2 linked regions of the Macaca mulatta genome follow. The protein of the gene in region 2 purifies or fractionates together with the protein of the main gene of each other region. This does not show direct contact. Links are inferred from orthologs where the notes say so. Each region holds a gene or a part of one and is shown on either strand. Other genes may lie near its edges.

Region 1 (3,652 bases), on a different chromosome or scaffold from region 2:
AGGCATCCGATTGGACAGATCAAACCCCATATCTTTATACTTGGGAGACATTGGCAAGTATAATGTGGTATAATTGTTTAGTTTTCTATCCATGTAGTTACAGAAGTGATAACAATATTTTTACTTTTTTTTAGAAATTTAAAAATGGTTTAAGCAAGCCAAATTTGAAAAATACTATTTTTTTCTATGTGTTTATGTTTAGAAAAAACAAGAAGATGACTCAACAATATCCACTGAGTTTGAAAAGTCAAGTGAAAACTGTCATCAGGATCTAAAACTGCCTGAAGAAATTACAACTAAACCTACAAAAAGTGATTTTACTAAACCATCCTCACTTAACAGTCAGGAGTTGACTTTGAGTAACACCACCAAAAGTGCCTCTGCCTGTTCAACCACTGAAACTGTTGGGAACTCTAATTCCATTGATACTGTGGGGATTTCGTCCCTGGTTGAGAACGATGAGAATGAGTTGAATACAATAGAAAAGCCTATTCTAAGAGGACATAATGAAGGGAACCAATCATTGATCTCAGCTGAACCAAGTAAGTGACAGGAGGATTATAAAGTTACTTAATTTCCTCTGCTTCACTTAGTTGTTTTTTTCTTCCTCTTGAACAAATTTGGCTAAGGCCATAAGCTGTTTATGACATCATTGTGGAATATATTAACTTTAGGGAAAAAAGGCTTGGGGTTTGGAGTTTCCTTCATGAGTTTTAAAATATTGGTTTAGGTAAACTAATGGAGGACTTGAAAACAGAAGTAATTTTTTCTTAGATTCGTACACAGTAATCTCACTCAGTAGTTTTAAAATAGATTCTTTAAGGACCATCATTAATGTCATTTGGTTGATGAAGTATGCAGAATTTAAGTGCTATCTAATTATTATCATTAATTTTGATTTAATCAGCTTCTGAGTAGTTGATGCCGTCACATGGTACAAAGAAATTCCAAAGGTTTTAAAGGATCTCCAGCGAATAGTCTCCCACATCTTCCCCTAGTTATTAATTTCCCATTCCTTGAAGCAATTCATGTAACAGGACTTAAGGTACAATTTAGAGTGATGGCACAATACACTGTGAGAACTAGCATTTGTTCATAAGGCTTCCTCATGGCTTTATCCATTTTTAAACATCTTTATTCTTTAGAAGGTAAGGGTGCAGGTAACTGCTGAATAATTGCACTGATACGGAGTCATTGTCTATAACTACTGTAAATCAGATAACAAATGATAGGCCTGTTTCTAAATTGAATAAATTTAGGTGATTAAGTTTAACAGGATTATTAAAAATAAATTGCAATAATTACAAAGTTCTTTTTTTTTTGAGACAGAGTCTCGCTCTGTGAGCTAGGCTAGAGTGCAGTGGTGCGATTTCGGCTCACTGCAGCCTCCCCTTCCTGGGCTCATGTAATTCTCCTTCATCAGCCTCCTGAGTAGCTGGGATTACAGGAATGCACCACCACGCCTGGCTAATTTTTGTATTTTTGCTAGAGACAGGGTTTCACCATATTGGCCAGGCTGATCTTGAACTCCTGACCTCAGGGAATCCACCCACCTCAGCCTCCCAAAGTGCTGGGATTATAGGAGTGAGCCACTGCACCCAACCGAAAGTTCTTTTTTTGATATGTGATTGTTACACATTTGAAATACATTTTTCGGCTGGGCGCAGTGACCCATTCCTATAATCCCAGGACTTTGGGAGGCTGAGGCAGGAGGATCACCTGAGGTCAGGAGTTTGAGACCAGTCTGACAAACATGCTGAAACCCCGCCTCTACTAAAAACACAAAAATTCGCTGGGTGTGGTGGTGGATACCTGTAATTCCAGCTACTCAGGAGGCTGAGGCAGGAGAATTGCCTGAGCCGGGGAGGCAGAGGTTGCAGTGAGCCAAGATGGGAAGACTGTGTCTCAAAAAAAAAAAGAATAAAAATACATTTTTCTTTTCCTTTTAGTTGTTGTTTCCAGTGATGAAGAAGGACCTGTTGAGCATAAAAGTTCAGAAATTCTTAAGTTACAATCTAAGCAAGACCATGAGACAACTAATGAAAATGAGAGTACTTCTGAATCAGCATTGTCAGAACTACCGTTGATTTCACGTGAATCTGTACAGGTAATTTATTTCTGTCTTCTCCCAGATTAACAGTGAAATATACACTATTGGTTAATGACTGTTACTTGTTTTATCAAGCTGAATATTGTAATGAAAATTAGAAATTTTCTTAGTTTGAATTTTGAGACAACTTTTATAGCAGTTTGAATGAAATATGTAGTTGTCTTTATTTTGAAATGAAAAGATTATACCATTTTTTTCTGGTGATTTATATTTTTTCAGTCTAAATATTCTATTACTTGAATATTTTTCTTTTTTTCTGGCTTTCATTGGACATTTCACTAACATTTTGTAGAATTAAAAACATTTTCTAGTATTTATATGTCTGGTCTTGGAGTATTATGGCTACTTGGAATTACTCCTTTTCCTCACATATTACGAAGGCAGTATGATATAGAGGAAAGAACATGGCTTTGGGGATATAGGTCAGAAACCTGTCAAATTTGGTAAGTCCTCTGCCTCTTCATTCTTATAGAAAATAGTAAATGGAAGTGTGTTAGTTTAGTATCAGTCAATTAAGTCAGTCCTTTGAAGAGAGTAGGTCTAAAATAAGGTTCAAAACATTTTTTGTCAGTATTTGTTCTTTCTTTCTTTCTTTTTGAGACAGGGTCTTTTCTGTCACCCAGGCTGGAGTGCAGTGGCATGATCATGGCTCACTGCAGCCTCAACCTCTTGGGCTCAAGCAGTCCTCTCATTCAGCTTCTCAAATAGCTGGGACCATAGGCTCGTGCCAGCATGCCTGGATAATGTTTTTAAAATATATATTGTTTTTAGAGATGAGGGTCTCCCTGTGTTGTCCAGGCTGGTCTGTTAACTACTGGGCTCAAGCATTCCTCCTACCTCCACCCCCCAAAGTGCCAGGATCACATGTGTGAGCTACTGCTCCCAGCTGGTACTCTTTCTTGTTATTAGCCTCTGATTATTCTATTTGTAAGAAAAGATCATTGACCACCAGTGCAGAATTATGGTAAACTTATCTTGTTTTGTTTTTGAATAATGTCAGAGGCTGTTATTTTGCAGAGTATGATGAAGAGTTGGCCCGATCTATGAAAACAGTTTGGTCTGATTATTGTTTCATGGGTATTTGCTTTTGTATTTGGTATTCCACGTAGAAATCACTTCAGCAGCTTTGTTCTGAAGTTTTGCAAAAATGTAACCATTTTTGCCAGATTGAGTCAATATCCTACTTGATGGTTTAGTTGCATGTATAATTAAAAGTGTCATTGTTGATAATGAATTTAAACTTATAGAAGAATTAGGCCTTGGCAGGGTATAAATTGACAATGCAGTATGAAATGATCATATTATAAGAAAATAACATATCTTTTAGAATTTACTAAATTCATAATCACAACCAAGCAGCCAATACTGTGGAGATCTACCATAAGGCAGAATGCCACATTTCTGTGCTCTCTCTTGTTCCAGTTTTAAATGAATGATGAGAAGTATGGATTGGTCATTTTTAGGAGCCACCTAGTTTTTACCAAATGTGAAGCCCAGTGAGAAATTATTTCTATACCAACTTCTCATTTGATCACTAAAAAA
Region 2 (3,652 bases):
TGCACTCCAGCCTGGGCAACAAAGAGCGAAACACTGTTTCAAAAAAAAAAAATCTCTGACATTGAAAATTCATGGTTTGGGAATACACAATCTTGCCACCCTATCTTCCGCACAAATTCAAGTCACTGGCAAAGAAACACAATTGTAACATGAAGCCAAATCTCTCTCACCATTTCATTAGGAACATTAAATCACCACAGGAATCTGTTGCCCCAATGATCTTTTCTGGTTCCAGTCCTCTCTCAAAGCCCCGAGCGATATCATTGCTCTGCTATAAATAGAAGACGAAGAAAGGTTACAGCTTGTGGAAAGAGTAAAGAAACTCCCTGTTTCTAGGCTCAACAAAACACAACCTAAGTTAATATCTCCTGATATCATTTCTGTCACCAATTCAGAAAAATTTTTAGAACTTAATACTAAGTACTGACAGTGACAATGAAGTGACAGTGATGCCAAGAGATATTTTTGTAAGATGTGATTATCGGCCAGGCACGGTAGCTCAAGCCTGTAATCCCAGCACTTTGGGAGGCCGAGACGGGCAGATCACGAGGTCAGGAGATCGAAACCATCCTGGCTAACACAGTGAAACTCCGTCTCTACTAAAAAATACAAAAAACTAGCCGGGCGAGATGGCGGACGCCTGTAGTCCCAGCTACTCGGGAGGCTGAGGCAGGAGAATGGTGTGAACCCGGGAGGTGGAGCTTGCAGTGAGCTGAGATCCGGTCACTGCACTCCAGCCTGGGCGACATAGCAAGACTCCGTCTCAAAAAAAAAAAAGATGTGATTATCTTTCCTGGAATTCCTCCAGAAGATTGGAGGTGAACCCTAAAAGTCTCTAATGTCCTATAAGATATTCTGGAGTCAGCCAGGCATGGTGGCTCACGCTTGTAATCCCAGCACTTTGGGAGGCCGAGGCGGGCGGATCACAAGCTCAGGAGTTCAAAACCAGCCTGGCCAACACGGTGAAACCCCATCTCTACTAAAAATACAAAAACATAGCCAGGCGTGGTGGCAGGTGCCTGTAACCCCAATTACTCGAGAGACTAAGGCAGGAGAATTGCTTGAACCTGGGATGCGGAGATTGCAGTGAGCAGAGATCGCACCACAGAATTTCAGCCTAGGCAACACAGCAAGACTCCGTCTCAAAAAAAAAAAAGATACTCTGGAGTCAACATCTAGGAATTCCTCTAATCCCACTCACTTGGAATCTCCTTAATATTGTAAATAAGCTTCTGAAATGTTAAAGAATACCCTGTTTACCCTAACTATATCTTTTCATCTTATGAACTTCAAATATACTACCTCTCTCTCAATCTTTATTTTTTTAGACTTTTAGTTTACCTTAACACTAACCAATAATTTTAACACATTTCACAGTCGCCTATATTTATGAAAGAATAGAGATAAGAATTATGCAAGGCCAATACTATTAAATAGCAAAATTTCAGAGATCACAAACACCAATACTTATATGCTTGGTTGGACAGAAGGCCCTGGGTCAATGCCTATCCCCTCTGGATGTAGATGATTGCTAGCATTAGAAGGCAGAACTGGACTGTGATTGAAAACAAAAACAAAAAAGAAAACAAAAACAAAAAACTGGCTTGGTGCAGTGACTCATGCCTGTAATCCCATCACTTTGGGAGGCTGAGACAGGAGGAGACTGGAAGTTGGAGACCAGCATAGGCAACTGTCTCTGTAAATTAGCTGGGCACAGTGGTGCACACCTGAAGTGTGCTACTCCAACTCAGGAGGCTGAGGCCCAGGGCCCAGGAGTTCGAGGCTGCAGTGAGCTATGATCATGCCACTGTGCTCCATGGTGGGCAACATAGTGAGAACCTGTCTCTTAAGACAGAAAGAAGAAAATTTGATAATTGATGAGATGAGTACTGAAACTTGGTCTAAATGCAGTAATACAATCTAGACAAGGAGCACAGGTTCTAATCCAGGTGTAATAATACTGATGAGAGCCAAAAAGCAAAATTTTATACAAGCCAGGTAATTTTTTTTTTTTTTTTGAGACAGTCTCCCTCTGTTGCCCAGGCTAAAGTGCAGTGGCGCAATCTCGGCTCACTGCAGCCTCCGCCTGCCAGGTTCAAGTGATTCTCCTGCCTCAGCTTCCCGAGTAGTTGGGATTACAGGTGCATGCCACTGCACCTGGCTAATTTTTCCATTTTTAGTAGAGATGGGGGTCTCACCTTGTTGGCCAGGCTGGTCTCAAACTCCTGGCCTCAGGTGATCCATCCCACCTCGGCCTCCCAAAAGTGCTGAGATTACAGGCGGGAGCCATCACACCCAGTTACGCCTGACTAATTTTTGTATTTTCAACATGGTTTCACCATGTTGACCACACTGGTCTCGAACTCCTGGCCTCAAGTGACCCACATGCCTCAGCCTCCCAAAGTGCTGGGATTACAGGTGTGAGCCACCACACCCGGCCTAAACTAGAGAATTTTTAAAAACTTTATTATGGAAGATAATGTTAGCCTCTCCAGTGACAACACAAAAAAAAGATTTAGAGGTGCCCAAATGAACTAAATATCTACTGCCTGATTTTCATAATAAAATCTCTTTGATCTTATGTTCACTTGCTTTCCTCTGAGACATACAAAGCATTTGGGGTCCGGGTGGTCCCCAAAGATACCAAAATCCACAATTGGAAGGAAATTCCATGCATGGATCAATGAGAGATACTGACTTTTAAAAACATAGCCTCTTTTAGGGGCGCTTACGGGGAAGAAGTTCCCAGATGTTCACACAGCTGCTCACAGCTGGAATGCTGGCACATGGACTAAGTTGTAAATCATAACTGGCAACTGAAAATAGTTTGCTACATAGGGAGGGAAGGGGAGGCAAATGGAAGAAAAATGTTCAAGTTGCTGAAAAGGAGCCGGGGCGAAGAAAATGCTAAAATCATCATACAGGCAGTAATCTTAAATCAGGCATAATGCAAACTAACAAATTTCTTCTCCAGGGGTCTTAAAAAAGATACACAATCCCCTCCTGTACCTTTAAAACATACAATCACCTATCATCTCAGCTGTCTACCTGACAGCAGCCAGTACTGCTAAGAATGCTATCAGGGGCCCCAGATGAACATTATGATGTAAGGGACATGTGGGGGTTGTTTTCAAGGTTGGCAGCTTCAGAACCTGGCCTAAGAACAAAAACTCTCTGCACTGGCCAGTGCTTCTAAGCCAGATTATTCAGACAGCTCCTTTTTAAAAATGACAGAGGCCAGGCGTGGTGGCTCACGCCTGTAATCACAGCACTTTGGGAGGCCGAGGCAGTTGGATCACCAGGTCAGGAGATTGAGACCATTCTGGCTAACATGGTGAAACCCTGTCTGTACTAAAAATACAAAAAATTAGCCAGGTGTGGTGGCATGTGCCTGTAGTCCCAGCTACTAGGAAGGCTGAAGCAGGAGAATCGCTTGAACCCAGGAGGCAGAGGTTGCAGTGAGATCGTGCCACTGCACTCCAGGCTGGGTGACAAAGCAAGACTCTGTCTTAAAAAAAAAAAAAAAATTCTAATTTTACTGGTCTGGGGTGCATCTTAGGCACTAGAAATTTTTTCAACGTACCCCCCAGGTGATTATAATGTGTAGACAGGGTTAGGAACTAATGTTCTAGAAAGGTATATATCTAATTAC

What was found. The genes of interacting proteins can lie anywhere in the genome.
Region 1: the proteins of CBX5 (region 2) and SENP7 purify together in Homo sapiens (affinity purification with mass spectrometry; 3 studies listed by BioGRID and IntAct, with this or other methods). This does not show direct contact. The link is inferred for Macaca mulatta from reciprocal best matches to the Homo sapiens genes CBX5 and SENP7.

Annotation. Positions count from the first base shown.
Region 1 is NC_133407.1:182,228,023-182,231,674, forward strand, and holds part of SENP7 (sentrin-specific protease 7), read left to right. Parts: intron 1-202; coding exon 203-542; intron 543-1,949; coding exon 1,950-2,107; intron 2,108-3,652. UniProt on the Homo sapiens protein: Protease that acts as a positive regulator of the cGAS-STING pathway by catalyzing desumoylation of CGAS. Desumoylation of CGAS promotes DNA-binding activity of CGAS, subsequent oligomerization and activation.
Region 2 is NC_133416.1:61,432,370-61,436,021, forward strand, and holds part of CBX5 (chromobox protein homolog 5), read right to left. Parts: intron 272-3,652; coding exon 171-271; intron 1-170. UniProt on the Homo sapiens protein: Component of heterochromatin that recognizes and binds histone H3 tails methylated at 'Lys-9' (H3K9me), leading to epigenetic repression. In contrast, it is excluded from chromatin when 'Tyr-41' of histone H3 is phosphorylated (H3Y41ph).